Drosophila melanogaster: one gene and its partner. The protein of the gene in region 1 interacts with the protein of each later gene in a pairwise test. Each region holds a gene or a part of one and is shown in the gene's direction. Other genes may lie near its edges. The genes, in order: sol and CG15141.

Region 1 (15,779 bases):
GGGAAGATGCGCTGGGCAGCTGCCGTGACAGAGTAGCTGCCCCAGAAGACATGACAAAGCAAAATTGTATCGAGGGAAAAAGAATGAAAGGGCCAAGCCAAGCCCTTCCTTCAGGTCGTGAGTGAAGATCGTGTGTTTGTACTTTTATAAAATGTATTTAATTGTTTTGTATAATTAATTTAAATTTTTTTATTAGCTCACTTGCTCCCGCCCCTAACTAAATAATTAGCTAACTCCAAGAACGCCAAGTATTCGCCCACTCCCTGCGAGAAAACCACATGAGTATATTGAATGCAAATATACATACATATGTATGTATATCACATATGCCTACAAATACGCAATATATATATATATATATATATATACATACGCTGAGCTGAGAGGATTACTCCCCTGTGCTAGTCCTTTTAAAATGTTAACCTACTTAAAGCTAGCCTGTAATAAAGTCAAGGAAGCACTAAAACTAATTGTACAAATGCCCACGTATTTATTTTATTTTTATTAATCCCCTGAATAAACATTAGAAAAATTGAAATTCCTCTATTCGTGTCGCGGATTGAAGGAGGTATTGGAATAGATTTAATTAAGTTATGTGCTAATTTTTCGGCAAAAGATACATATAACATATCAGAATAGCACATATCAGCACATTATTGTTAGTTCGCTGCTATTATATTGGCCTCAGCTGTATCTGCGGTTAGCGAGTGCACCCACCGCAGTTAGCACGTGCCAGCACCTTATTTGGCGAATTCGCCACCATGTGTATCGATATGTCGATGGCAGGCGCTATCGATTTTGATGGATGTTCTCAAAGCGTGTTCGGCGCGGTCACACTGGTGGTTTATTTTATTCCGAAAACTATTTGTAATTTAACTCAAATTAAGTGAAAACAGCATGCCAGATGCCGAGCAACTACCGGACGGCTGGGAGAAGCGCACTAGCCGCTCCACAGGTAAGCATCGTGTGCAGTCCCGCTCGTGCCATGCCGGCGGTTTTCCGGCGGAATGCGGAACCGGCACGCTAAACTGAACCTGCACTTGATTGATCATGATTGATTTTGCAGGAATGAGCTATTATCTCAATATGTACACAAAGGAGTCGCAGTGGGATCAGCCCACAGAGCCGGCGAAGAAGGCGGGCGGAGGATCCGCCGGCGGCGGAGATGCACCGGACGAGGTGCATTGCCTGCATCTGCTGGTTAAGCACAAGGGCAGTCGGCGTCCCAGCTCGTGGCGCGAGGCGAACATCACGCGCACCAAGGAGGAGGCCCAGCTGCTCCTCGAGGTCTATCGCAACAAAATCGTCCAGCAGGAGGCCACATTCGACGAGCTGGCCCGCTCCTACTCCGACTGCAGCTCCGCCAAGAGGGGCGGCGACCTGGGAAAGTTCGGCAGAGGTATGTATATCTCCCCACTGTGCATTTGTCACACGTCCAGGATCGAGTGGTCCTCGATGTGTGTCCGTTTAGGAATAAGGCGCTTCCCACTTGAGGCGCAATCCAGAAACAGATTGGTACTTCCACTAGAGGCTCTGATTGTTTTCAATATTCAAGAGAAGAGAAGAGAAGATATATCGACCACTAATAGATTATAGATGCATAGTTATAGACAAACACTATTTGCAATTGGCTCCGCGGCATTTCTTTTTTAATCTTCCTTACCTTACACATTTTTGTACCTATAACTTCGCGAGCTACTTGCAATCGTAGAGTTTAGGCCACCCAACCGACCTGCAACTGCTTCTAATTACATTTCACATCTCACAGGTCAGATGCAGGCGGCTTTCGAGGACGCTGCCTTCAAATTGAACGTCAACCAGCTGTCGGGCATCGTCGACAGCGACTCCGGCCTGCACATCATCCTGCGCAAGGCATAGACTCATCGAGCACCGACCCACAGCACAACTCGCGTCCCTTCACATGAATAAAACGGAATGCCCAGCCATTTCAATATAGAATTATTTATTGTATTTTAAAATGTTAGGTCTTGTCTAGGCTAGAAGCGTTTCTCATTTGCCAATGTCCAGTTTGGCGGCCAGTAGCTTGGCTCCGGGCGTCTTACGGTCCGCGAGTATCTGGCTAAGGCTCCTCTCCGCCGCGATGGCTTTCTTGCAGTCGTCCAGCAGTGCGGGACACTCCTCCACCAGCTTGAGCAGGACAAAACAGGCCCGGTTGACGCCCAGCCAGGCTTTCAGCTGAAAAGGGAAAGGGAATCGCAATTAGGAATTGGAATCTGAGTGAAGCTGTTTACTTTGCGACTACTTATTTATTAGACTAAAGCTAAAGGAATGTCGAAACGTCATTAAATAAAAGAAAAAACTCAAAAGTACGATGCGTTTCTCATGACTGGGAAAAAGGAAGATACCCTCGGTTACCGGATGGCATGATTTTTGGGTACTTACCACATCGGAGGACAAGTTTTGGAGTAGCTGTTGGCTGAACGGGGTGCCCTCTCGCTTGCCATCGTTCTTGAGTATCTTCTTCAATACAATGTGCATGCCGGCCTCCTCGATTCCGGAGACCAACGGAGCCGCCGGCTCCTCCTCCTTTGCCTTTGGCTTTTTGGGCTCCTTTTTGGCTTTCTTCACCTTGGGTTCGGCATCATCTGCGGCCGCCTCCTTCTGCTCCTTCTCGTCTCCTTCATCGTCGCTCTCCTCATCTTCATCTTCATCTTCATCTTCGTCGTCGCTGCTGCTCTCGACATAAAGCAGTTTTCTGCGCTGTTTGGTGGCCTGGGCTATAATGGCCTCCACGTCATTGTGAGGCTTCTTCTTATCCTGCGGCTGCGGACCGGCGGCGTCTGCTGAAATGCGCCACTCCGGTTGGACGACGACTTGGGCAAGGGCCGAAGCAGCCTTCTCATAGGACTCGCCTTGAACTAAAAGGCAGAGATGCAAACGTACATTAATATCGTGAACATATTCTTGTAAATCCATATGTATGTTTCTGCTATGGCTTTCAGAAGTGTGCACTTACTGTGATTAAGAATATCGCCGGTGACCAGGCCGATGTGGCTGTTGGACAGCCAAAAGGCGGCATCCTCGGCGATGGACTGTGCAATCGGCGCCTCTATCTGCTCAAGGATCTCCTTGCGACGCAGCTCCTTCTCCTTTTTTCCAAAGGCTAGACCCTCCTCCACCGTGCGAATGAACTCTGGATGGAAGCATGTCGTATCACCCGGAGCCACCAGCCATTGAATCACTCGTCGGCCGTACGGGCTGCTCATTAGCGCCTTTAGATCTCCGTGTAGGTGATCGTAAATTGCCTTCTTGGTCGCCTTAGTGTCGTCCAGTGCGTTTAGCAGCGAGATGAGGAACACGTGGCCGTGCTCATGGTTGGCGATCTTTAGCAGGTGCTCCTTGATATTCTTGATAATGGCCTGAAGAAGGGGTTAGAATACATATAAGATTCTGTTTCATCAACACACGTTATACGTGATCCACTTACTCTGCGATTCTTGGGCGTCGACTTGTAGAAGCATATAACAGCCGCCTCGCTGCCCTCCTTGGTGGACAGCATGTGAGGCACTAGAGCCGCAAACGCAGTGACCGTCTCCTCCAGCTTCTCCTCATCTTCGTCGCAGGCGCGCAGGTACTCCAGCATCACGGCGTGCACCAGCGCACTGTCCACCAGCTGCTTGTTGGCCACATGATCCAGGTTTGCTTTAACCGACCCCAAAATGGAGGCCTTCATGTTCGTGGCCTCCTTATAGGTGTCGCTCAGAGTCTTCACATTCGAATCCTTGGCCTTCCGGTACAGATCGCCGTAGAACTCCTGGCGCATATAGATGCGCTGATTGGGTGTGGCGCTCTGATACATCGAATCCAGCAGCCCACTGCCGATGCTGTGTCCGGCCAAACGCACTATATGTCCGTACAGGCTGTCCACCAGCTTGGCTTTGGTGGCTGGCGCACCGTACTTGAGCATCCGTTGCACGCAGAACTGGGCGTATTTCGACTGGCACATCTCCACGGTGAAGGGAAGCAGCTTCTCAGAGATCTCGGCCCGCAGAGCTGGCGACGCGTACTTTAGCATGCTCTGGATCACGCGGGCGGTGTCGTGGGCCTTCACCACCTTTGAAATAGTGTCGCCCACGTTGAGCACCTTGTATATCTGCTCCACCAGCTTGTCCTTGTTCTCCGTTCGGCGGCTGCAAGACAAGCACCAAATTATGTTGATATATATATATCAGAGCAATAGGATTTGCGCATTCATTAGTTGTAATTTTACGAAAAAAAAAAAAAACGCGACAGAGGATAGAGCTGGTTTGTTTATGACCAAACAAAACAGCATGCGCTAAATAGGCGTCTTTGGAATCTACGCTCTTGGTTCTAACTCAACATTTATACAGAAATACAAGGCTATATTAACTTAGTTTTGATACTGATCAAAATGCTTAACTAGCTATTATTGTTTCAAGAACATGAATAAAATGTTTGGTGTTTTTGAATTCGAACCAAGTGGCAATGTTCGGTTTTTCCACGAACAGGTGCTTCGTTTTGGGATCCACATGGCCATGTTTATCGATATCTTGTCCTTTAAGGAACCAAAATGACTTATAATTATTAAAACTATATCGTATAGATTGATGCCTTATGAAATTTAAACAACTTTGTACGTTCTGAATGTACATAAGTGCATGAAAGAGCCCGATTTTGTTGAGCTATCATAATTTGTATAGGTAATTTGAGCGCTAAGGATGATAATAACCGATTGTTTGGGCTGTTCATCGTGTTTTTGGGGATGCTCACCATCGCAACTTCTCGTGGATCTGGTTGGCCTCCTTGCTGATCTCGTAGGTGTCCTTGGCACTCTTGCGCTTCAGCTTGAGGTCCTTCTTCTCCTTCTTGAACTTGTTCCAGTCCTGTTTCTCGCCCTCCGCCGGCGCCTGTGGCTGTGTTTGTGGTTTTCCGCGGAACTTGTTGCCACCAAGCCTCTTGTCGCCGGTGGCTCCGGATTTGTCAAACTTCTTGAAGCCACCGGGCCCAGACTTGTCGAACTTCTTGGCACCACCAGCGCCTGGCTTTACAAACGACTTGCCTGCTCCTCCGCCGAATTTGTCGAACTTCCTGGCGCCTCCTGCTCCACCGGGCTTAAACTTCTGTCCGTTGGCGCGCTTGCCGGACGATTCATGGGCCTTGAGGGGCGAGGCCGTGTTGGCCACGTTAGCAGGTCCTTTCGGCTCCGAGCTAACCATCTTTGCTGCGTTTTCTTGGACACTACAACTAAATAACAGCAAATGTTTTTGCCAAAAAAGCGAACTACACGTGCTGCTGATGCAGAGTGACCAGATTGTTGCAGTATACCCAAGCTGTGTAAATACCAAAATCTGGTATTTTCGTTCCACATACAGTAAGTATCAATGAAGTGCTTCTATTTGTTTAAAATTTAACTCAAGTTAATGCGTTCAGTTCAATTTGACTTTCCATTTGAAAGCGGCTAAAAAATAATAATCCATGTCTAAATATTAAATTTAAACTCTTCCTAAACTAAGCTCCTCAATGTTGATTACTTGTTATAGAAGGTCAAATAATTTTATGCATGTATTTGCGTCGTTTTATGAATATATGTATGTATTCATTCCCAAAAACATATTAGAATTGGTCTAAAAATTGAAGGTACCGATTTTTCATTAACGGCACTTGCCAACACTGGCTTTGCGGGGTAGCAGCCGTGTTTCTCGCGCTGGCAACCCTGTCCGGCAGAGTTCACGCACTCGGGCAACCTTGTCGTTGGAGGTGTTCGCGAACGTCGACAACCCTAGCGGCAACAGTTAAAAAATGGTGTGAAACGGCGACGGAGAACGCGGCGTGCAACTGTTGGAAGCCACTGCTTGGTCCTCGTTTTGGTCCCGGGTTCTGGTCCTCCTATTGATCTCCATCTCCGCCCGGCCACCAGCTCGAAAGCGCACCTACACATCATAGTTTCCATAGACAGTCCCAGTTCCACATCCACTCCCCCGCCAGCCAGCCAACAACAACAAAAACAACAACAGCAAGAGAAACAACTCAGAAGTCGAAAGGAATCTGGGAACTCCTGCGACTCCCCCGCGCAATGGGCACCATCTCATCCGTGCTGCAGTGGTCGTGCACCAAATGTAACACTATCAATCCCACGGAGTCGCTCAAGTGCTTCAATTGCGGCACCGTCCGCAAGGTGTTCCCCCAACAACAGCAGCAGCAGCATCGCAGCAGCAGCATCACCGCCTCCTGGACAGCTGATGATGCACTGGAGCAGGAGCAGGCGGAGAAGGGGCAGGAGAGGGACAAGGAGAAGGGCAGGGCGGCGGTTGCCAGGTAAGCGAAGCGGTCGCCACAAAAACAAACAGCCTGTATGCCTCCTCTGCGAGGATGTGCCTGTGTGTGTCTGTGTCTGTATGCGTGTGTGTGTGTGTGTATGTGGGCGCCAGTGGTGGCATCCAATTGGAGGACAAAAGCGCTAGCTAAAATCATGTCGCATATGGTAATGTGTATAGAAATCGGTGGCGTTTTCAAATCCAACTTTTTTCGCACACACATTGTATGCACACTTTGGAAAATATACAAATACACAAATATGTACATACTTTCATCGGTAAAATTCGTCAATCAAAAACCTTAACTTTCAAAGAATAATAATACCAAAAGCTTACCAACGTAAGCTCCTATGCTGAACTTTAATATCCAAAGAGCAGACCGAGTAAATCTTAGTAAATTTTATAGTTCTCACTAACCCTTTTGTGCATAATGAAACTTAAAGAATAAGAAAACAATGAAATCGGTTAGGAAAATCCTGATTAACTATCCATAGGAATAACTCGAATGGGAGTATAGGAATAAGTTGAAAGATTTTTATATTACGAACTTAAGTTTCGAAAGGCTAGGAAAAGGTACAGTGTGTACAAGTACACAGTTCAAAAGTCTAGCTTTAAAAGCCAAGCCGTCGGCACTGGTGATTGTCCCTGAGCGTGTGTGTGTGTGTGTGTGTGTGTGTGCGCGAGTGTGTGTATGTGAGAGCATGTATACACAGCAGAGGCAGAAGCAACAACAAAACAGCCGAGGAGCAGCGAGAATTGGGGAAAATCGATTTGGATAAAGAAGCATTGTTTACAAGTTTATCGATTCGCGAACTCGCTCGGCGATCTGAAGAGCAAAAGAGGTGTAGGAACAACTTCCGAGTCGAGCGGACGAGCGGAGAGTAGGAAAATGGCCAGTCATTGAGATAACCTTTGCGGTCAGGAAGTGGGGAAAGCCCAAACAGCTCAAGAACACCGAATCCCATCCAAACCCGACGAAAAACGAAAAACCCCATTTCCCTATTTTGCAGGAGCGAGTACAAGCATGTGTACAAGTCCCTGCTGCGCGGATGCTTGAAAAGACCACAGCGGAACAGCCAGAATCTGCCCGCCAACTGCGTGGATTGCGAGGACACGCGCAAGTACATCAAGAGCTCTATTGAGCTGTACCGCCACTTCTCGAATCCGGCCCTGAATCGGCGGTGGGTGTGCCACGCCTGCGGCACGGACAACAGCTCGGTCACCTGGCACTGCCTCATCTGCGACACGGTCAGCTATCTGGCGCCCATTTACAAGGACGCCATCGCCGCCGACCGAGGCCAGGATCTGGCTGGCAGCCTGGGCAATCGCGGCGAGCTGCTGGCGGCGGACCATTCACATCCACATCATCATCACCACTACCTCCACCAGGAACTGGAGGAGCAGCATCAGCATCAGTTACATTCCCAGCACTTGCATAAGCGCCACCTCAAAGGTAGATCTGCATCCGGATCGGGATCCGGACCGGGCTCGGGTTCTGGACTGCGCCGCACCCAGAGCCTGAGCACCGCTATCGACAAGAGCGCTTCCGGGCGCAGCTGCCACATTTGCTATGCGAACAACCAGAGCAAGGACATCTTCAATCTGCCGCAGATCAAGCCGGCGCCGCAGCTGACAGGTGCGTTCATCAGCTAACGAACTAATGAAAGGTTAAAGGTTACTTGAGGAAATAACTATAAGGTATTCTTATTGGCCAGCCTATCGTTTCCAAATTTTTACTAGAAGAAACTCTTTAAATGGACAACCGAATTATTTAAAGTCTATTCTCTTTTTGTAAAGTTCTTAATCTTAGTCAGATCATGATGAAAGTGTTAGCTTCCCATAACCGGAATGCACGCACTTGTTATCCGATAATCCAATTCTAATCCCTATGTGTTTCTCGCAGGGATTCCCCCCGTGGCCGCCTGCAGCAACTCCCGTTTTGCCATCGCCAACGACACTTTTTGCAGGCGCAAACAGAACAACAATAACAAGAACCAGAATCACAAGGTGGTTCGCGAGAGCGGTGCCAAGCGGAAGTACAACTTTACCATCACCACGCTCTCTCGGTCGGCGGCCAAGGATGCCGGCCATGGCCAAATGAAGCCACTGCGTCAGGTCGTTAATCTAAATCTGAATCTACAGCAGGAGCCGCAGCAGAAGTCACCGGCTAATCCGCAGCAGCTGCAGCGGAAAACCCAGCGGGAGCCAGCAGCAGTGAGTATGAATCCCACGCAGTTCACCATTCCGCGGAACGGCGTCTTCATAGCCGTCAACGAGTGGTCGGAGCCAATGGCCAGCAGCTCCTCCGTCTCCTCTAGCTCCAACCATCATCATCACCATCACAGCAACAGCAATAGCAATAGCAGCGGTAACAGCAACATCATCAACAACAACAGCAGCAGCTCCAGCGGCAGCAACAAGTTGTATGAGAACGAATGCGTGGCCCTGGCCCAGCAGCAACTAAGAGCAGCTGCTGCGCAGGCGGCACAGGCAGCCGCGACGGCGGTGGCCATTGCGAGTTCGCCATCAGCTAAGGCTATGGCCGAACCAGCTCCAACGGCTACCATGCCCATCTATGCGCAGGTGAACAAGCAGCACAAGCTCAAGAAGAAGCAACAGATTGCCAGCGAATCGCAAACGAACAACAACACTGGCAGTGGCGAGATCGCGGATGCGGTCAGTGAATCCCTTACCGCCGGACTAGGCACTAGCACCGATGGCAGCGGCGAGGCCAGCGAATCCGAGTCGCAGGTGGAGGAGCACTCCATCTACGCCAAAGTGTGGAAGGGACCGCGCAAGGCGACCGAGTCGAAAATGTAATTGGCAGCTAGCGTGCGACCGAGATTAGTCCACACCCATCCAACTTCCTATCCCCCGCAGAAGCTTATCAGTTGGCTACGTTTTTATTTTTGCTGATAATTTGCGTGGCGCTTAGTCACTGCGGCCTTCTGTTTGTATTTCGCCCGTCCACCAGCTTTTATTTTTATTCTGCCCGCTATAAGTTCAGTTGTATTATTTAAGCAAATTGTTTATGGGCATGATTTAAATTAATGATTGGCTTGCCACAAGATTGTCACAACTTGGTTGAGGTAATTAATTCATTCGCAATCGTGCTGATCTCGGCTATGACAATCTGTGGTTCAAGTGTTCAATTTAATTACATTTTGATTTCGCCTATCTCCCGTGTTGAATCAATTTTGAACTTGACTGCATTACAATTGATGGTCTTGCTTTCGATTTGCAGTATGCATGATCCAGGGAGCAGCAGCCGCCTATCAGGAGCCGCATCCGCAGCAGCAGGGACCGCGTCAGCTGGAGCTATAGCTGCAGCCGTAGGAGCAGCTGCTGCCTCGCGGCACGACAATAAGACACAGCTTGGCAACGGCAGCCGCAGTAAGATGTGGATATGCATCAAATGTTCCTATGCCTACAACCGACTCTGGCTCCAGACTTGCGAGATGTGCGAGGCCAAAGCCGAACAGCAGCAACAGCAGTTGCAGCTGCAACAGCAGCAGCAGCAGCAGCAGCAGCACCACCACCACCACTTGCAGCAGCAACAGGCAGGTGTGTCATCAGTTTTCAGGAAATAATGTAATGCTTGTGCTATATCAAATACCTAATGCATTCCAGAAGCACCCCGCGACGAGCCATGGACCTGCAAGAAGTGCACCCTGGTTAACTACTCGACAGCAATGGCCTGCGTGGTGTGCGGCGGCTCCAAGCTGAAAAGCATCTCTTCCATCGAGGACATGACGTTGCGAAAGGGCGAGTTCTGGACCTGCAGCCACTGTACGCTCAAGAACTCGCTGCACTCGCCGGTCTGCAGTGCCTGCAAGTCCCACCGCCAGCCGCAGCTCTCGATGGCCATGGAGGCGGTACGGGAGCGACCGGATGGTCAGTCGTACGAGGAGCAGGATGCTGCAGCCGTCGGGGGCGGAGGAGGCAGTGCCCACCAATCGGGCGCCAATGAGGTCAAGGCGCCTACAGCCTTGAACCTACCGCTAACTTCGGTGGCGTTGCCCATGCCCATGCTGCAGCTTCCAACGTCAACAGCGGCTGGTCTGCGCGGCTCACGCAGTCCCTCGCCCAGGATGCAGCTGCTGCCATCACTCCAGCAGCAGAGGAACTCCAGCTCATCGGGCGCTATACCTAAACGTCACAGCACCGGCGGCTCCATTGTGCCACGGAACATTTCCATCGCTGGTCTGGCCAATTACAATTTGCAGCAGGGCCAGGGAGTCGGCTCCGCATCGGTAGTGTCTGCTTCTGGAGCTGGATCTGGAGCTGGAGCTGTCGGAGCCAGTACCAGCACAAAGAAGTGGCAGTGTCCCGCGTGCACGTACGATAACTGTGCCGCTTCCGTCGTTTGTGACATCTGCTCGAGTCCGCGCGGCCTGGCGAGCGCAGTTTTGGGCGAGGCGTTGGGCAGAAAGTCCGTTCGAGTTGCCCTCACACCGGCAGATATTCGGCAGGAGAGCAAGCTGATGGAGAACCTTCGCCAGCTGGAGGAGACCGAAGCGTTGACCAAGTGGCAAAACATCATACAGTACTGTCGCGACAATAGCGAGCTTTTCGTGGACGATTCGTTTCCGCCGGCGCCGAAGAGTCTGTACTACAATCCGGCGAGCGGAGCAGGCGAGGGAAATCCTGTGGTGCAGTGGCGACGGCCGCACGAGATTAACTGCGACGGCGGAGCGTATCCACCGTGGGCTGTGTTCCGCACCCCGCTGCCCTCGGACATCTGCCAGGGCGTCTTGGGCAACTGCTGGCTACTCAGTGCGCTGGCGGTGCTGGCGGAGCGCGAAGATCTGGTCAAGGAGGTGCTGGTCACGAAGGAGATATGTGGCCAGGGCGCATACCAGGTGCGCCTCTGCAAAGACGGCAAGTGGACGACGGTGCTGGTGGATGATCTGCTGCCATGCGACAAGCGTGGCCATCTGGTTTATTCGCAGGCCAAGCGCAAGCAGCTATGGGTGCCGCTGATCGAGAAGGCTGTGGCCAAGATCCACGGCTGCTACGAGGCGCTGGTCTCGGGCCGGGCGATCGAGGGACTGGCCACGCTGACAGGAGCGCCTTGCGAGAGCATTCCACTACAGGCCAGTAGCTTGCCCATGCCCAGCGAGGACGAACTGGACAAGGACCTGATATGGGCCCAGCTGCTGAGCTCTCGATGCGTACGATTCCTCATGGGCGCCAGCTGTGGCGGTGGCAACATGAAGGTGGGTTCTGCGTTATTACAAAGTCTTCTTCTATTTCATATGCTTATGCTCAATTATCAACATCAACCAAAGGTGGACGAGGAGGAGTACCAGCAGAAGGGGCTGCGCCCGCGACACGCCTACTCGGTGCTGGACGTGAAGGACATCCAGGGACATCGCCTGCTCAAGCTACGCAATCCGTGGGGTCACTATTCGTGGCGTGGCGATTGGTCGGATGACTCCTCGCTGTGGACGGACGATCTTCGGGATGCTCTGATGCCGCACGGCGCCAGCGAGGGCGTCTTCTGGATCTCGTTCGAGGATGTGCTTAACTACTTCGACTGCATCGATATCTGCAAGGTGCGCTCCGGCTGGAACGAGGTGCGTCTGCAGGGGACATTGCAGCCCCTGTGCTCCATCTCCTGTGTGCTGCTCACCGTGCTGGAGCCGACGGAGGCGGAGTTTACCCTATTCCAGGAGGGGCAGCGCAACTCGGAGAAGTCGCAGCGATCGCAGCTGGACCTGTGCGTTGTGATATTCCGCACCCGGTCTCCGGCGGCGCCGGAAATCGGTCGATTAGTGGAGCACAGCAAGCGTCAGGTGGGTGCTTCCCATAGCCCTGCAAATAGAAACGCTTCTAACAATTGCGTTCCATTTAGGTGCGAGGCTTTGTGGGATGCCACAAGATGCTGGAGCGGGACATTTACCTGCTTGTGTGTCTGGCCTTCAACCATTGGCACACGGGCATCGAGGATCCCCACCAGTATCCTCAATGCATCCTAGCGATACACAGCTCCAAGCGTCTGCTGGTGGAGCAGATAAGTCCCTCGCCGCATCTCCTGGCCGACGCTATCATTAGCCTGACCCTAACCAAGGGACAGCGGCACGAGGGGCGCGAGGGGATGACCGCCTACTATCTGACCAAGGCAAGTGATCCGGTTGCGAAGGGATCTAGGGATTCGGTGGCCTTACTAACTCGACCGCATTTCCTTTACAGGGCTGGGCGGGTCTGGTTGTGATGGTGGAAAATAGACATGAGAATAAGTGGATCCATGTGAAATGTGATTGCCAGGAGAGCTACAATGTGGTGTCGACACGCGGCGAACTCAAGACAGTGGACTCTGTGCCCCCGCTGCAGAGGTGGGCTCCCAATCGACCACCTAAAATATTCCCCCAACTAATTGCTTAACGTGTGCTTAACGCTTTCAGACAAGTAATCATCGTTCTCACCCAACTAGAGGGCAGTGGCGGCTTCAGCATCGCCCACCGGCTGACCCATCGTCTGGCGAATTCCCGCGGCCTGCACGACTGGGGGCCACCCGGCGCCACCCACTGCCCGCCCATCGAGAATGTCCATGGACTGCACGCTCCGCGGCTAATCACCTAGAATGGGATAGGGATAGGGATGGATGGCAGTGACGCAATTTCGATGCTACCCCGCGATATGTCGCTGTTCGAATCCTGATTTGCATGCGTCTCCTCTCAATTCTACCCGTCTTCTAGTCGATGTTCTGTTAACGAATCACACATTACAGCGAAAAACCCAAAGTTGAAACCAATCAGCATGCGAAACAATTCATATATATGTGTATAGAGCCGTGCAGATATGATATATGTATGTGTTTATGCACTAAGGCGTATCGGAAAGTGGGAGCAGATCCCCGGTGGGGATACGGCAGAGCCCAGAAGCCCCAGTCCGGAGTCCTAAGGCTAAGGCTCGGCACGATTCGCTTGAGATCCAATGATCTGTGTTTTGATTAGAGCGGCTATGATTGTGGATTATATAGATATGTATTGTGAATTTAAGTGCATCCAATATTAATATGTGTATTGTTTTAAAAATAAAGACTACAAGTTATAAAAGCCACCAATGTGTAAACAATTTCAAATGTGTACGCGCGAATTGGAAAACGATTCAATCAAAATATACCTTACGATACACAATAGATGGCGCCAGGAGATATTCGACATGGTATCTACATAAGATGTTATCTACTGTCAAAAACGCTACGAACTAAATCGTAAATATAGTCCGGGCTTAAATTTCCGATTAATAAAGTGAAATCATAAAAATATAGTCATGATATAATATAAACCATATAAAACCATAATAATTAAATAACTTATTAAATATGGTTACGTTCAACCAGATTTTCAAAAGAAATACCAGCTTGATCTTGTTCAGACGGTCGTCATTTTTGTTTTGCCGCCGAACTGGTCCCACTGGCAGCAGGATTTGCCAGTTGCGCGCTGCGGTCACACTAGTTGCCCTGCTATTTTGTTCGTCATTACGTTGATTTCTTCGTTCGTTTCGTGTTTTTTTTTAAAATGGCCGATACAAAGGGCGTGAGTAGCCGCTGTTCACTTGTCCAAATGCTAATGGCCAACGGCCAGTCCCCCAACGAACTCGATCCGCCGCCAACTGGGCGTGGCGTGCCATCCACTCCTGGTTGCCAGTGCATCAAATGCCGAATGCGGCGCTCCTGTTGATTTGTTTGCCGCTCATCTCGCCGCGCCAGTTCATCGGACACTCCTCCTGCACCGCCCTTTGTCCACTCGGTGGGAGCGGGCATTGCTGAGCGGGAGTGGAGAAGGAAGTGGAAGTAGAAGTCAAGTGATTCACAACATGCCGGTGGCGTCGGCGTTGTTCCTTTGTTCCCGGGACCTCTGCCGCCCTCGCGAAGCAACTTCGGCCGCCCGTGACCCACATGGCAGTGCATTCTGGTGCACGGAGAAATGAGTGCCGTGCCCATAGTTTGGGCGCCCAAGAGAAAACTGATCCGCGCGTGATGGGCATGCAAATCAAGCCAAGCCATCGCTTTCTAAGACCCAAAACCCTAACTACCAGACATTAGCTCAACCCAACTGAGTTGGGTTACGAGTTAATAAGGCATATGGAATACTTTCAATCACTTGTCCATTTTGGGTCATATCCTTGAACCCATTTCTTAACTCAACTCAACTTTCTCTTCATGAGATGCAAGTTTTTACTATTCCCAAAAGTGTTTTACCGAGAAACATAGTTCCAATTAATTGGTAGATAAATTGATCGACCGCAGATATATGTACAATATTACTATGATTTATCGTCAGTCTGCATTGCATGGTTTTATAGCTTAATCAGCATAGGCTGACCCACTTAATTATTCGCATATGTATTCATATGTATAGAACACAATGCACGGCACATTTAGTTAATATGCAATTCGTTAAGATTATAATTTCCATATGCAAAAAAGTCCACATTTGTTTCGCCTTTAAACGTTCCAGAAATAGTGCTGATATTGAACTGAGTAATTCTTGGTTTTGCAAGCAATGTTTGATTGTTTACCTGTTCTGAAATTAAAGGCATTACCTATCTAGTAGATTCTCAGAAAGTTTCTAATATTAATTATTTTTATTTATATATGAAGCCTAGGACTTTTGGTTCTCTATACTAATGTTATTCACCTATTCTCGTGCAGTTTTCCAGCATCGAGACGCCCGGCTATGTGGGCTTCGCCAACCTGCCCAACCAGGTGCATCGAAAGTCCGTGAAAAAGGGATTCGAGTTCACCCTAATGGTGGTGGGCGAGTCCGGACTGGGCAAGTCCACGCTGGTCAATAGTCTCTTTCTCACCGATCTCTATCCCGAGCGCATTATTCCGGACGCCATAGGTGGGCATAGTCTTTCGTCATCACTCGCTTTGATTACTCATCCAGGAAACCATTCCCCTCTTGCAGAGAAACAAAAGCAAACCGTAAAGCTGGAGGCATCGACGGTGGAGATCGAGGAGCGCGGCGTCAAGCTAAGATTGACGGTGGTGGACACACCCGGATTCGGCGATGCCATCGACAACTCCAACAGCTTTGGTGCCATACTCGAGTACATCGATGAGCAATACGAGCGCTTCCTGCGCGACGAGAGCGGCCTGAACAGACGCAACATTGTGGACAATCGCATTCACTGCTGTTTCTACTTTATATCGCCGTTCGGTCATGGGTGCGTTCCTTTTCCGTTTAACTTTTGAACATTTAATATTAAAAATAAGGAGTTCAAAGCTCAGTAGTGTTGCAAATTGTATAATAGAAAGTATAAACGAAGTATCACATCAATTTTTGTACCCAGCCTAAAACCCCTGGACGTAGAGTTCATGAAGAAGCTGCACTCTAAAGTTAACATTGTGCCCGTGATCGCAAAGGCCGATTGTCTCACAAAGAAGGAGATCCTGCGCCTGAAGTGCCGCATTATGCAGGAGATCGAGAGCCACGGCATCAAGATCTACCCACTGCCAGACTGTGATTC
Region 2 (16,121 bases), on another chromosome or scaffold:
ACACCATGTACGCACCGCTGCCCTATGCGGACAGATCGCGACCCTATCGACCCTCCAAGAAGTCGAGGGTTAAGGTTCCACAGCAACAACACATTTGGGTGCCCACCACCCTGAGCAGCAGCATTACCACCAGTACCAGTACTAGACCAACCATAGCAGCAGCAACAGCAGCAGCAGCAGCAGCAGCAGCATGCAACAGACAGCCCCTGCAGCAGCAGCAACAGCCGCATCTGCATCAGAAGCAGCAGCAGGCCAAGCCAAAGAAAGTTTGGTTTTGCGATAAAAAGAAACTCTTTCCAGTTGGCTGACTTCGCGGCTGATTCGGGCCCAGTTTGCAATGTTTGCTCATTCATTTGTGCAGTTTCGGTTTCGATTAATTGTGTTTTGTTTTTGTTTGATTTTATTTTTGCATTGCACCCGCGCTCTGGCTGTTTACAAAACAAACACACACAACCATTTTCTCGTTTTCACACAGCTGTTTTTTTTTATGATTTTACCCATCATTGTCTTGTGTTTATTTGTTGTTGATTTAACTCAAACTCATCTAATTTTTGGCACGTTACGTTTTATGTTTTGTTCTTTAACCACAGTGAAGACACTCAACTCATTCCCAATTGCCAGTCATTTTCCCAAATTGATTCATCAAATTAACTTGAAACGCTGAGAAGAGTACAAATTTCATAAGTTTAACTAGGCATGAAAGGTTTTGGGGGTTCAACAGCATTTAACTCGGTCAAAATTTAAAATAACAATGGGTTAAGGTTATTGCTGATATGTATACAAACGAAATTGATTTTACATCAACTTGTATACATACATTTTATAATAATTATTATTCTTTTTGCATTTTGTGCTGGCGCAAAATTTTTTATTTACCAATAACTTGCATCTGCGAAGATTGAATATGCATAAGATAACAAAATAAGTTTTCATGGGTTCATCTCAGTTCAGATACACAGATTTCTACACTTAAATTATCATATACGCAATCTCGAAATTACAGCAAGAAAAACGCAAAAACAACCTATTGTTAATTATTTGCATTCTTAATTATATACGTTAGCACTTTTGCACTGTTTGCTTATCCGCACAGTGCGTTTGGAGAAAAAAAGCTAGCGCACACAATTATACCCTATTATTGTTTCCTAAATTTGAAGAAGGGACTGTTTACTTTTATGTGCTTTTCGCAACCGCTTTGGGGCTTTTCTAGAAGACGACTGTCTTGTGGGATGATTGAGTTTTGTGCTTTCTGTTTGGTTTTGTTTTCAATAAATTGTTTGTGTTTATATTTATATGCGGATACGTGTTAGACTTTTCTATTTGTCGAGCGCACTTTGAGTTTGAGTGTTAAATTAGCAACAAAATTATCACCTGAAATTCCCGGTCCCAGCCACACCAAATCCATATTTTCCTGCCTTTCTCATCCACTGATCAAGCTATCCATCCTTTTTAACGCAAAACCAAAAAGATAATCTGACTACCAATTTGAACAAAATTAGGCTGGTCCTTAAGAGTTGAAATTCTGTTTGCACAAGACTATTTTTGTATGATTCTTATAGCAAATACTGATCGAAGCGGATCGCTGGAGACGCCTGATAGCGAGACACAGCATAAAGGTATCCGATCTGCGACGCGAGTTCCGCGGCTGGTCCGGAAAACACGAGAGTCACTGCATCCTGCACAGTGTCCTCACACCGCTGCGCATCAAGTAGAAATCCGGATGAGAGGAATGGGCGACCATAGTGCTCAAAACTATTCGATTCGACGATTTTTGAATTACATTTCTTTGCACCGAGAAAGGAACCACTGAAGACAAAGTTGAAGTCTGCACAGCGTTTTAAGCTGATACAACCAAATAAAGAATTAAAGATCTTTAAAATAATGAAAAAAGGAAACCATAAAAAAAAACGAAAGCCAATCGAAAAACCAAAACGAATAAAGTTAACTTAAATGGTTTGATTGGCGTAAAAATATCAAAAACGAAATTAAAAAGATAAAAAAAACGGTTAATGGAAAAGTTGACTGACAATTTTCGATTCTTTTGACGAAAGCGAATTTTTCTTGCTGTTGGTTTAGTTATTACGATATACACTTAAATACTATATATATGAAGAAAAATACACTAACAATATGCAAAACATTTTTACAATCTCCCAATGTTGTTTTATTTATGGTTTTAACTTGCGTGCTAATTTCCTTTCCTATTTCTTTGACCCCTCGATCCTCAGCTAAAAGCAAGAATCGTTGAATTGGAGTCGGCATTGGACAATGAACGAAAGAAAACTGAAGAATTGCAGTGCTCCATAGACGAAGCCCAGTTTTGTGGCGATGAATTGAATGTAAGGACAAACAGAAGTCGTGTCTGGAAATGTACATTGTTGGGTTAAAAAGTTGATGTTCGATAGAATTTTTAGTTTACTATATTTGCTCTTATTAAAGTTTAGCTTGATATATTTGTTAATATTGAGAATCGTTAAACTGATTGTTAAATTCTGAAATCAACAAGGAAAAATCTCAAACTAAGCTTATCGTTCGTTTTAATGCGTTTTTCAAGCTATTGCATTTGCTGGATCCAAAAGTATGCTATATAAATATTGACTTTTGTAAGCGAAAAACAAACTCTAAAAATTATTGCATGCGGCTCAGTATTACTGAGTATTAATACAATAGAATATGACGAACTAGTCAATAAAATATTTAATATTCCAATTAAAATATAATATGTTACTGTTATTAAATGGAAAACGCATATATCTTCCGGGAAATAAATGAATAGAGCAAGTCAATGTACATTTCCATGCACTGAGAATAAAACTAGGCCCCCTATACTAATAATATAATTCCTATATAATAGGCTCAGTCACAGGTTTACAAGGAAAAAATCCATGATCTGGAGTCAAAAATCACAAAACTGGTGTCCGGTAAGGAATAACAATTAAAATTCCAAGTGAAAATGCTTAATACCTTGATGCATCCTCCTTAGCCACGCCAAGCCTACAAAGTATACTACCGCCCGATCTACCTTCAGACGATGGTGCTTTGCAGGAGGAAATCGCCAAGCTGCAGGAAAAGATGACCATTCAGCAGAAGGAGGTTGAATCTCGGATTGCGGAACAGCTGGAGGAGGAGCAGCGGTTGAGGGAAAATGTAAAGTACCTTAATGAGCAAATCGCCACTCTACAGTCCGAGTTGGTGTCCAAAGATGAGGCCCTGGAGAAATTCTCCCTCTCGGAATGTGGCATCGAGAATCTCCGAAGGGAACTCGAACTTCTCAAGGAGGAGAACGAAAAGCAAGCTCAGGAGGCTCAGGCTGAGTTCACCCGAAAACTAGCCGAAAAATCCGTAGAGGTGTTAAGATTAAGCTCTGAATTGCAAAACTTGAAGGCAACATCCGATTCCCTGGAAAGCGAAAGGGTTAACAAAACCGACGAATGTGAAATTCTTCAAACCGAAGTACGAATGCGGGATGAGCAAATCAGAGAGCTAAACCAACAACTCGATGAGGTTACCACACAACTAAATGTACAAAAAGCGGATAGTTCTGCTCTGGATGATATGCTTCGATTGCAAAAGGAGGGTACTGAAGAAAAATCTACTCTTTTAGAGAAAACCGAAAAGGAGCTAGTTCAAAGCAAAGAACAAGCTGCGAAAACTCTAAATGATAAGGAACAACTTGAAAAACAGATATCAGATTTAAAGCAATTGGCGGAACAAGAAAAACTAGTCAGGGAAATGACTGAAAATGCAATCAATCAAATACAACTAGAAAAAGAATCCATAGAACAGCAATTGGCTTTAAAACAAAACGAACTTGAGGACTTCCAAAAGAAACAGTCAGAATCGGAAGTTCATCTTCAGGAAATCAAAGCTCAGAACACGCAGAAGGATTTTGAATTAGTTGAATCTGGTGAGTCCCTTAAAAAACTGCAACAGCAATTGGAGCAGAAAACTTTGGGTCATGAAAAACTGCAAGCTGCTTTGGAAGAACTAAAGAAAGAAAAGGAAACGATCATAAAGGAAAAGGAGCAGGAGCTCCAGCAGCTCCAAAGCAAGTCAGCTGAATCCGAAAGTGCTTTAAAAGTCGTACAAGTACAACTAGAGCAACTCCAGCAACAGGCTGCCGCATCTGGAGAAGAGGGATCCAAAACTGTGGCCAAATTGCACGATGAGATTAGTCAGCTTAAGTCCCAAGCTGAAGAAACTCAGTCCGAGTTAAAATCCACCCAATCCAACTTGGAAGCCAAAAGCAAACAATTGGAGGCAGCAAATGGCAGCCTAGAAGAGGAAGCCAAGAAGTCAGGCCATCTGCTGGAACAGATTACCAAACTTAAATCTGAAGTAGGGGAGACGCAGGCAGCTCTCAGTTCATGTCATACGGATGTGGAATCCAAAACTAAGCAACTTGAAGCCGCAAATGCAGCTCTGGAGAAGGTCAACAAGGTAAGTCTGTGAAATAAACGACGATATAGTTATTGTCATTCTTTAATTAAACAGGAATACGCGGAATCCCGAGCGGAGGCTTCTGATCTGCAAGATAAGGTGAAGGAGATCACCGATACGCTACATGCTGAGCTTCAAGCTGAACGATCGTCCTCCAGTGCTCTCCATACTAAGCTGTCCAAGTTCTCGGATGAAATAGCTACCGGCCACAAGGAACTGACCAGCAAAGCCGATGCCTGGAGCCAGGAGATGCTGCAAAAAGAGAAGGAACTACAGGAGCTGCGACAGCAACTTCAAGATAGTCAAGACTCTCAAACAAAGCTGAAAGCAGAGGGAGAGCGGAAAGAAAAGTCTTTCGAGGAATCTATAAAGAATCTTCAGGAAGAAGTCACTAAGGCCAAGACGGAGAATCTAGAGCTAAGCACTGGCACACAGACGACCATAAAGGACCTGCAGGAGCGACTGGAAATCACCAATGCTGAGCTCCAGCACAAGGAAAAAATGGCAAGCGAAGATGCGCAGAAGATTGCCGACCTTAAGACCCTTGTGGAAGCCATCCAGGTGGCTAATGCCAATATATCAGCTACAAATGCGGAGCTCTCCACTGTATTGGAAGTTCTTCAGGCGGAGAAGAGTGAAACAAATCACATATTCGAGCTCTTTGAAATGGAAGCCGATATGAACTCAGAGCGGTTGATCGAAAAAGTTACTGGGATTAAGGAGGAACTAAAGGAAACCCATCTGCAACTGGATGAGCGACAGAAAAAGTTCGAGGAGTTGGAGGAGAAATTGAAGCAAGCTCAGCAAAGTGAACAAAAGTTGCAACAGGAGTCTCAGACTTCCAAGGAGAAACTTACGGAAATACAACAATCCTTGCAAGAACTCCAAGATTCTGTAAAGCAAAAGGAAGAACTTGTCCAGAACTTGGAAGAAAAGGTTAGGGAAAGCAGTTCCATCATAGAAGCGCAGAACACGAAACTAAATGAAAGCAATGTTCAGTTGGAAAACAAAACTTCTTGTTTAAAGGAAACCCAAGATCAATTGCTAGAGTCACAGAAGAAGGAGAAACAATTGCAGGAAGAGGCTGCCAAACTTTCCGGTGAGCTGCAGCAAGTGCAAGAGGCCAATGGAGACATAAAGGATTCCCTAGTAAAAGTAGAGGAACTAGTAAAGGTGTTGGAGGAAAAACTCCAAGCAGCCACCTCCCAGTTGGATGCCCAACAAGCCACAAATAAGGAACTCCAGGAGTTGCTGGTTAAATCTCAAGAAAACGAGGGAAATCTGCAAGGAGAATCTTTGGCAGTCACTGAGAAACTACAACAACTGGAGCAAGCAAATGGGGAGCTTAAGGAGGCTCTGTGTCAAAAAGAGAATGGCCTTAAAGAACTTCAGGGCAAACTTGATGAAAGTAATACTGTATTAGAAAGTCAAAAGAAGAGCCACAACGAAATTCAGGATAAGTTAGAACAGGCCCAGCAAAAGGAGAGGACTCTTCAAGAGGAAACATCCAAGTTGGCGGAGCAACTGAGCCAATTAAAGCAGGCTAATGAAGAGCTCCAGAAATCCCTTCAGCAAAAGCAGTTACTTTTGGAAAAGGGTAATGAATTCGACACCCAGCTGGCAGAATATCAGAAAGTCATTGATGAGATGGATGATGCGGCTTCCGTTAAATCCGCGCTGCTGGAACAGCTACAAAATAGAGTTGCGGAACTGGAGACCGCACTCCGTCAAGCCAACGATGCCCAAAAGACTGCTTATCTGGAGACTAAGGAACTGAGGCGCCAGCTGGAATCGCTGGAACTGGAGAAGTCGAGGGAGGTTCTGAGCCTAAAGGCTCAGATGAATGGTGCGAGCAGTAGGTCCGGAAAGGGTGATGAAGTGGAGGTGGGTTTCTTTTTTTTAAGCTAATATTTTATATATTTTGCAAACAATGGGCCTTGTCAATTTCCAGTCACTGGACATCGAAACCAGTCTTGCCAAGATTAACTTCCTGAACTCAATTATTGCTGACATGCAGCAGAAGAATGATGCACTCAAGGCAAAGGTGCAGACCCTTGAAACCTTGCCAATGGATTTCACCAAGTGAGTTAAATTCTTTTTCATCTCGGTCGAAGCATTTTCGTTCATAAATGTATATAATATATTTAAGACCTCATGCCTTCGATGCCCTGACAAAGCGGAAACCGGCTCCCAGACTTTTCTGCGACATCTGCGATGAGTTTGATCAGCACGATACGGAGGATTGTCCAATCCAGGGAAGCGAAGATCAAGACTACTCCACACCGTCATCCGAGTCCAACAACAACGAGAAGGAGCGGAAGCTGCCGGCACCCAGGAAATACTGTGATTCCTGCGAGGGTGAGTAAAATAAAATATCAAATTTTACTGACATTTAACAATGTTTTTCCCAATTACAGTTTTTGGCCACGATACGAGCGAATGTGCCGATGATGAAACCTATTAGTTAGCTCTAGTTAAATTCTATTATTTCCATTTTACTTTGTTTTAGACTCTATAGCATAACCATATTGCGAGATCTATCAGATGAGATACTTTTACCTCAGCAGAGCTTCACTCAATCACACAAAGAAATTTCTCTACTTAAAATTGTGATCTTGCGTTATGCACACATCCATGGATAGTAGTCTATTTTAAATTGTTTTTATTTATTGAATGCGATTCGTGGCAAACACACAATCGGTTGTTTTCGTAATTTTTGAGTGTAAACATAGTGTAAAAAATAAAATCAAGAACGTGGAAGAAGAAGCTTTTATTGGGTTTTCATAAGACTAAGGAATTAATTGGTAATTATATGATTAATCGCCGCCCTCCTTCTTCTCCTTGATGGCGTCCTGAAATCAGAGAAACATGGATATTAAAGAAATGTTTCGAGGACGTTTTGTGCAGGTAATACTTTGAAACGCTCTTCGAAGAGAGATAATTCTGCTAGAAGATCGGTTATGGCGTTCATGAATGCTTCCTGCGGAGAATAATCGGCCGTAGTCTGGATGCGGATGACGAACTTGTGCTCCAGAGGATGCGGAACCTTGTAGCCGGCAAACAGAACATTGGGATCCTTCAGCAGTTGGCTGCAGGCAAGAATGCAAATTTAATGTGTAATCAGACGGGCTTGTTGGCCAACATACTTGCGGATCATGTTGCCCAGCGTGTGATCCTCTTTGTTTATGGTGAATATAGCCGCATTGGTCACTTTGGTGTCCAGTTCCTTGATGATTCTGCAGCCGCGCCATAACAAACATAAAAACGGGTTAAAGGTGGTCATTCGGAGTAGTCTGTTTTCTTTACTCACTTTTTCTCGCCTTCATAGAGCAGAAATGACTCAAAGGTAGGTGGTGCGTTCATTTTGATGTCTTACTTTTCGTTAGTTACTGCAAAACTTATAAATTGTTTATTAAAATCAGCAGCACGCTCAGCAAAATTCTCCGGTACAGTGTTGACTAACGCCCAAGTGCAACACAAGCTAAAGTAGCTATATCTAGCAAAAAGTAGCTAGAACGCCTAGCTAATTTATTTTAGTATTTTATAAATCATTTTTAATGTGAGCATCTATTAAATAAAATAAAACTTGTACTTTGAATTTGAAAATAATTTAATTTGCTTATGTTTTTTGGTCATTAAATAAATAGCTTAATCACTTCTTGCAACCAACACTGGCAGCCGATACCTATCGCATAGACAAGCTGTTGTGGGCCATCCCTAGGTTTCGGTGGTTGAATTATTTGCAAATTTTTATCCAATCGCGCCAAACGCTGCGCATTCCGCCACTTTCGAGAAACTGACACGAAGCCAAGCTAAAAATACATTATTAAACAGCTGACATGAGCGAGTCGAATGCCACAGATGGTGTCCACGAGGTTGAGGAGTCCAATCCGCTGGAGCAGTCGACCATTACGATGCTAGATGTCCTGGAACAGGAAAAGGAGCTGGAGGACGAGTACGCCGCAGTGCTGGGCGCCTCCGATGAGAAGTCGTGCACTTACGCCAAGGGCCCCATCGGCCGACAGGCTCTGTACTCGTGCCTCACTTGTTGCCCCGAGGCGCGCGAGGATCTGGACAAGGCCGCAGGAGTCTGCTTGGCCTGCTCCTATCGCTGTCACGAGCACCACGAACTGGTGGAGCTCTATACTAAGCGGAATTTCCGCTGCGATTGTCCCACCCAGCGTCTGGGCAAGTGCTCCCTGAACCCACAAGTCGAGGGCGTTCAACCACGTAACGTGGGCAATCTGTATAACCAGAACTTCCAGGGGCTGTACTGCAAGTGCAAGCGACCCTATCCCGATCCCGATCGCACCGTTGAGGAGGTTATGCTGCAGTGCGCCATCTGCGAGGACTGGTTCCACTTGCCGCACATGAAAGCGCCCGGCGCCAGCGACAAGTGGCTGGATGTCTGCAGCGAAATGATTTGCGATGGCTGCATGGATGCCAAACCCTTCCTAAAGGACTACACTGGATTAGCCCTGCAGCCTGTGCTAGAAGATGCGAAGGAGGACAAGCCGGAGGCTGACGATAGCCAGCTGAAGAACGAGTTGGACCGCAGCATCTGCGATATCATGAAAGTTCCTGAAGGTGAATCTCAGCCAGACGAAGGCGAACCCAGCCAGAAGCGCGCCAAACTGGACGATTGTCGTCGGCCCAAACCAACCAAGGAGCATCAGGGTGAGTAAATTAATATAGATATACATGCGTATGCTCAAAAAAAAAACATATTTATGCAAAAGCAACCTTAATACATGAAAAGCAAGTCAAAGTTCTTCTTGCCATCGCCCAAGTAAAGGAAACCATGCTTGTGGGAGTTGATTTTGTGAAAGAATGTCATGCCCAACCAAAGGCACGACTTGATTATTACCAAACCCTCGTTCCGTTGCATATTCAGGGCAAAAGCCTGACACAGTGGTATTACGCAGTCAATGGTGTCCAGAAAGTCAATAGCATAGTTATAGTCGCTCCTCTTGGCCAAATTGACTTTGAGATCATTGCGGGGCAGGCGATAGAGCTGGTAATATGATTGGTTGTCGATCTGCAAGTCATTCAGTCCACGAAACATCTGGTTGGGTATAACACGACCATCGGTCATCTTGTAAAAGGCTCCGCGTGGGCAAATGGCACACTCCTCTGTTATAATAAACACAATGGCTGCCAGCCGTTCCTCCTCCTTAAGCTTGACCACTTCAGGGCGGCTGATACCAGCCACCTGATTGCCTACGATGTCAAAAGTGGGGTCCTGTGTGCGTACAATATCAGAAAAACCACCACCACATTTACGTACTATCAACTCACCAGCTTAACGTAGGTCATCAGGCTGGGATCTCCTATAAATGGCTCCCTTGCCAATATAGTCGCCTGAAATATCTTGGGGCTCTGTACGAACGGCAGCAACTGCCATTGGAACTGGTCCAGACTGTAGAAATACTTGCGATCCTTGAGACAGTCATTAGTGTAGCCAAAGGCAATGTAGTAATCGTTCTTGGTGGCCGTAATGCGACCCCAAAGATACATGCCCGTAAAACGATTGTCATTTTGTAAAGCGATCAGCGAGTTTTCAATCAAGATGCGCTGCTCCGGCGACAGCTTCATGCCGCAGTACATTAGGCAGTCGAGGCCCTCGGTGAAGAACTCCAAATTCATGACGAAAGTATCTTAGCAATTTATATGTGAAGTGTTGAAATAAAATATGGATTTAAGTGCTGAGAGTATTTGAAAGAAAACTCAGAACCGTAAAAAAAAATATGTTAGCGGAATGGATTTTTAATTACATGGCATGCATAAATCAGCACAAACTCTTTGAACTGCCAATTTCCCCCATTTATTCATCTCTACCCTTTCTCTTTCAAGGAGCTGCTTTCTGGACAAATGACTGGCGAAAATCACTCTGTCAGTGCTCCGAATGCCTGTCGCTTTACAAGGAACTTGCCGTGGAGTTTCTGCTGGATGTCGAGGATTCGGCTAAGACGTACGAGGAGCGCGGCATGAAGCGGGCTGAAGAGAATTCCAGTTATGAGCAAGGAATCCGGGCACTGGCCTCCATTGACCGGACACAGCAAATCGATGCGATTACCGAATACAATCGCATGAAGGACAAGCTAAAGGAATACCTGCAGGCATTCGCCGCCAGCAAGAAGGTAGTGACCGAGGAGGATATCAATCGGTTCTTTGCCGGCATGCGCAATGAGAACAATGCCAACCTGGGTCAGCCCTATTTCTGTCGCTAAACAGTTAGCACTCTATATTACTCTAGTATTACCCACATTCCCCCATGAAAGCGAAACATACATACATACATCATGTAAATTCTAAAGTTATATTTTATTTAAACAATAATCATTTTCAATTCACTTTTGTCAATAACGAAAAGTCGTAACAAGGCATCGGGCAATGAGATTCGCATTTCCCTCATTAAATTTATGTACATTGCGGTAAAATAGAATTATATAAGACAGGTTTTGTGTTGAAGTTCATTTTGGATTGAGACCTTTTTACATGTAGCTCTAATTGGTTAATTTCCGATATATTTTATGAAATATATGTACACTAGTATTTAGCAAAGTTTGTTGTTCATTTGAATGGCTGAATTCCCAAGCTATTGAGTTCTGCCTCAATGTCCTGGATAAGTTCGCTGGTGTCAATGGGCGCCATGCCTATGCTGCTGGAAATTAGATCACTAAACGATTGGGTGGGTTCATCTGCTGGAGGTTGCTGCTCCTGTGGCTGCTGTTGCTGTTGGTACTGCGACTGTTCTGGATGGGATTGGGCCAGATATGGAATGGACTCTGGCTGCAATTGCGGCAGGAACTGCTGAGTCTGTTGATATACCTGTTTAATGCCAAAATTTCCTTGTGGCGGTATGCTTATGGCACTCATTTTCTGACTTAAAAAGTCATTGTTATTGTTATTAATTAGTACATTGTTGTTATTATTGATTGGTGTCATAGAGCCACCACTGAAATGGGTAGGACTACAGCCGTTTACCGGAAAGTTTGAATTCTCCGGCAGATACATATGGTTATTCCTCTGTCCGATTTGAAACGGCGGAATGCTATCCACTGTACTGCAATTGGACGAAGGCGATGCGAAATTCCCATTAAATGTGAAGTTTGTGGCATCTGGCAAATAAAGATGAGTTTGATTTTGCCCCATTTGCATCGGCGGAATACTATCCACTGTACTGCAGTTGGATCGAGGCGAAGCGAAATTGCGTTCCACTGATGGACACTGGCTACTCTGGCTATCCACATCCATGAATCCATTCTCCATCTTGATATCCTGCACAAAATTGGGACTTCCGCCGGGAAACATCAAAGGCATACCAGGCGACACCTGTGTCTGCGGTGTTGTGGTCGCAATTTGTGGCTTGGAAAATATCGTATACTGGCCTAGAAAATAAATAAAAAGTTGTTAGCCTTGTGTTTCCAGTATTAACGAGAAAAGCGTTTCAAAACTTAAAATGCTTTTATTAAGATAAGCATAATTAAGATAAAACTCAGGTAAAACTAAAGCAATTTGCGAGAACTCAAAAGGGACAACAGCAGCAAGCCACAACATCAACCTGCCTTGGCAGTATCAACTTACATTATTTGATGTCCAACTTTGGTGGCAAAAATGGAGTTTGATGGAAACTAGACAAAAATTGGAAGGGTAGACACATTTTCGGTTGTCCGAATACTTAAAGATACCCTTGCCATTCAAACCTTTTGCTTATTTTAATAAACTTTTTTAGAGATTGGTGATCTAATAACTTTTAATTAATAAGATGAAAAATTGAAGTCGCAGCAAAAGTTTTTTAAAGTTTAAATAGTACGTATAAAATAATATAAATATTATTAAATATAATTTATTGTTAACGGACGAATATAATCGCTAGTTAAACATTTAACTATAACATTATTTTTTGATTTCTTTACAGGCAAGAGCATTTTAAAATTTTAAGAAATTGCAAAATAGTTCAATGCCACGACTTTTACGAAAATCTTTTATTCATTAATATTGAATACAATAAGAACGGGTGAAACAAACATTTTTCTATTCGAACGGTCTATATATTCATTAATGGGGTTCTTCGACTACAACGTTACATTTCCCAACAATTCTGGGACGGACAACAACTTTATCCATTGGTCCACAAGGTATTCAATCCTGTACTATCAATAGTGAATTTTCAGCAAACATTTTTGCTAGTCAATATAAATAACACCATCGAGTGATGAGTTTGTGTATTTTTGTGTGGTTAATGAGTTTTTCTAGGAACTGCACAGATGAAATGCTTCTATAAAGAAACCCAGTCCCGGCACCAGTATAAATGCGGAAAATTCGTGAAAACTTACTGGAGGTTTTAACCTGCTTGGATGGATGTAAATTGGTGCTCATGAGACTGCGCTTTAGGCTTTCAACTGTTTTTTGGGCAACACGGCGATTGTGTTTGGTTAGGAGTTCTACAAAGATATTTAAATTTTATGTCGATTAAAAAAAGATACGTATACAATTGAATTTGGTGAGCGATCGATCTCAGGGGTTCTTAGCTAGAAATTTGTGTAATCATTATAATTAATACTGAAACAAAAAGACGACTAGAAAAGTTTAATTTGTTGGTGCAGTTGTGTGTTTTGCTGTTAAGCACTAACTAATGCTAGGGTTTTGGTTAACTGATTCGATTATAAATCCGCACATTTAAGAAAATATCTCGTTATCCCATTTTGTCTTCAAATCAGTTATCCGTAACCCAATTCATCTACTCCAAGCCATTTGCCTCCGCCAGCCGCCGTGCTATTTCATCCGCACTCAAAAAATCGGTCGTATCCACTCCACCAGTTGCTGCTCCACCTTCGCCGCACTCCCCGCCAAATGGTGGTTCCGGACTTTTGCTGGTGTACAAAGCAAAGTGTTCCGCCTCGGAGAGATCCACACTGGGATCCAGCACAACACCATAGGCTCCCTCGCACAGATTCTTGATGCTCTGCCTGTCGGCGATGGCAATCAATTCCATATTGCCGTCACTTATGGGAATATCCGCCAGTTGCAGAGTGCTCAGGGTCTTCCTATCCAGCGGTCGACCGTAACTAAGGGTGCTGGCATTCGAGTAGCTCTCCGGTCGTAGCAAACTGTTCTCGCTATCGCCTCCCTTCAATGGTATGTGAATAACATCCGCATCCAGGTGGGCAGGTCTTTTACCCGATACACTGCTCGAACTACGACCGACTGGCTTGCCATTTCGACCCTCACTTTTTCCCAGTGGCTGCATCGATCTTGTGGAGCTGCGATTGGGATCTCCCAGGGAAAAGTGCGCAACGCTTGGTTCCCTACTGCCGGTGGGTGTTGTGGCTTTCGATCCCCCTGGTAGTTGCTTATTGGGGCTGCCACCAGGTGTCAGAGATTCTTCGTCATCCGTCTTGCTCCTTCGGCGAGAAAAGAATCTCGAGAAGAATCCCTGACGCTTCTTTGGCGAAGCACTGGGCGTCGGTTGCCTTTTGGTGGGACTTTGATCAGGGGTTCGCATTATAATTATAGGCGAAGGTGTAGTTCTATTGGAGCTTAGGCTGCCGTTTCGCGAGCGGCTCACAGAAATTGAATCACTGACAGCACTCAGATCCTGGGAGTTTCTCTGCGGTTTCGGTGGTAAGGGAGGTAATCTCTGATCTGAAACTGGGGAAGGAGTTCGAGGTGGCAATGGCAGGGGCGGTGAGGCTGGGGGCGTGGCTGGTGTCTGAGCAGCGTTCACTTTGATCCTGGGAGCTGGTGGATTTGTCAGCACCACCAGTTCGTCATCATCTAGCTGACCAAACGGATTGGTGGGTGGATAAATGGGGGCTGCTTGTTTGCTTTCTTTGGGCAATCCTATGTCTATGGGATTATTAAAGGCTATTTGTAGGCTCGTATATGTGGCTGTCTCATCGAAGTTTTCATCTAAATCCATAGAGGCCTGGGCACTGGCTGAAACCATTTCCGGTTCTTTTTCATTTTCCGGTAGCTCTTTCACGGCCGGATTCTCGAGGGTATCCCTGCGAGAACCATTGGCCAAAAGACCGTGGGCTTCCTCGTCCAACTGGTTCGTTATGGTCGTATTGGCTGTCAAGCTGCTGACATTGGTAAATGCTGTTTGGGCCGTGCTATTCGATAGGGATTGCGTGTCCCCGTTCTCCACCGTCAGGCTATCCGTTCTCTCGAACTCGCTGCTCTTCATCCACTCGGTGATTGTTTCCACATTGGACAGGGGTCGCGATTGCAGCTGCGGATGCTGCAGAATCTCCTCCATCGGCGTGGACGTCTGGGTGCAGTCATCGGCCAGTTGGGGCAACAATTGCGGAACCTCCAGCTCTATTTCCATATCTGGTTCGTTATCGTTATCCGTGTACTCGGTGACAGTGCCACCATCCATTTCGTGCGATTCACCCCTCTGACGCATTTGCATTTTCTTGACGGCTATCTCGAATTCGTTGAGAGTTCCCGAACTCTGTTGGTCATCGGATGAAACCGTGTTATTATCCTCCTCCAGATCCATCGGTGGGCACGAGTATTTCGTGGCCGTCGTTTCGCTGTCTAGGGAAAGGATCTGCTGGAACACGTCCAGTTCCTGGCGGCGTTTCAACTTTCGCTGTAGCCGGGCAAAGGTTACTGTACCTGGATTCGGGTAGTACTCGAACGGCAGTGGGGCACTCGTCGCTCCATCCGAGGGTCTCACTAGTTTCAGCTCCACCTGGAAGGGGGGAAAAAGTGGAGTTAGTTCTATTTCATTCGTGCAAAAAATTTAAACTCGGAAAATTAATGTTTTCGGAAGTACAAGTATTCGATTAATGGTACTTAGAGCGCAAATGCTATTTTCAGTTTATTTTACGTTATTAAATTTGTTTTTTTTTTATTGTAACCATTGATACATATGGAAAATCCGTTGTGTGCAGCATCGAGAAGTGCTCTATTTTATTCATTAATTGCACTTTTTAAATTGCCGCTCGACATGCACATGTCAATTCAGTCACTTTTAGATAACAGAGATAAGTTTAAATAAAGTATTGAAATTATTTATTTAAAAAACTGAACTCACATTAACACTTTGTGTGATCTCGGTGTTCCTGTAGCGCGGCGTCTTAAAAGCTATGGCCATCTGTTTGAACACGTCCGTGGGTTGGAACTCTGCGTTGGCGAACCACGTCTCCCGTCCATCCTTGTCCGTCTCATAGAATCGCACCTCGATGTCGTCCTTGGCAATCTTCTCGCACAGCATGATGATCTCGTCGCCGCCGTTCGCAGTGGCCGCGCAACTGCACAGCCGGGTGATGGTCAGTTCGCTGCTCTTGCCGTAAATCGGTGAGGATACGATGGGATCCAGGGGCACTTTTGAGTTGCCCACTGTGATGAAGGCCTGGTAGCAGAGGCGCAACTCATACCGATTGATCTTGTCGATCTGGTCCTTGTGATCGAATTTGGCTGAAAGGAAAGTATAGTTACTAAAATAATAGTAGGAACTATTATAGTTTGAATTGCAGGAGGTATCATATAGTTTTAACATCCTTAAGTAAAGTGTTAATAAGATGACTCACCATTGAAGGGATCGATGTTTCTCCTTTCCCTCTCCACCAGCGAGTCGCGCATCTCCAGCTTCTTGGCGCACTGTATGCCCACTTTTTGGAGCACCAGCCGCCGCTCCTCTGGCGGCAATTTCTTTTGGTAGATGC

Evidence for each region.
Region 2: the proteins of sol (region 1) and CG15141 interact in a two-hybrid assay, tested with the Drosophila melanogaster proteins (2 studies listed by BioGRID).

Annotation. Positions count from the first base shown.
Region 1 is NC_004354.4:21,344,554-21,360,332, forward strand, and holds sol (small optic lobes), read left to right. Parts: upstream 1-5,726; 5' UTR 5,727-6,055; coding exon 6,056-6,297; intron 6,298-7,081; exon of another isoform or gene 7,082-7,208; coding exon of another isoform or gene 7,209-7,213; intron 7,214-7,306; coding exon 7,307-7,932; intron 7,933-8,199; coding exon 8,200-9,112; intron 9,113-9,540; coding exon 9,541-9,860; intron 9,861-9,926; coding exon 9,927-11,515; intron 11,516-11,587; coding exon 11,588-12,094; intron 12,095-12,153; coding exon 12,154-12,420; intron 12,421-12,491; coding exon 12,492-12,634; intron 12,635-12,703; coding exon 12,704-12,881; 3' UTR 12,882-13,359; downstream 13,360-15,779. Other genes in the region: dod (dodo), read left to right, coding at 898-955, 1,067-1,399, 1,769-1,878; peng (penguin), read right to left, coding at 2,011-2,196, 2,404-2,879, 2,978-3,380, 3,449-4,151, 4,753-5,198; Septin1 (septin 1), read left to right, coding at 13,823-13,840, 14,959-15,151, 15,218-15,476, 15,603-15,779. UniProt on the Drosophila melanogaster protein: Has a role in eye development. Calcium-regulated non-lysosomal thiol-protease.
Region 2 is NT_033779.5:17,402,502-17,418,622, forward strand, and holds CG15141 (uncharacterized protein), read left to right. Parts: upstream 1-8,139; 5' UTR 8,140-8,279; coding exon 8,280-9,117; intron 9,118-9,147; exon of another isoform or gene 9,148-9,184; coding exon of another isoform or gene 9,185-9,682; intron 9,683-9,738; coding exon of another isoform or gene 9,739-10,086; exon of another isoform or gene 10,087-10,132; intron 10,133-10,293; coding exon 10,294-10,670; 3' UTR 10,671-10,998; downstream 10,999-16,121. Other genes in the region: CLIP-190 (cytoplasmic linker protein 190), read left to right, coding at 1-299, 2,229-2,339, 2,855-2,921, 2,984-4,440, 4,495-6,324, 6,392-6,522, 6,590-6,798, 6,858-6,904; Polr2J (RNA polymerase II subunit J), read right to left, coding at 7,257-7,292, 7,355-7,529, 7,587-7,676, 7,751-7,803; Rsph9 (radial spoke head protein 9), read right to left, coding at 9,185-9,682, 9,739-10,086; Dif (Dorsal-related immunity factor), read right to left, coding at 13,184-15,145, 15,491-15,873, 15,987-16,121.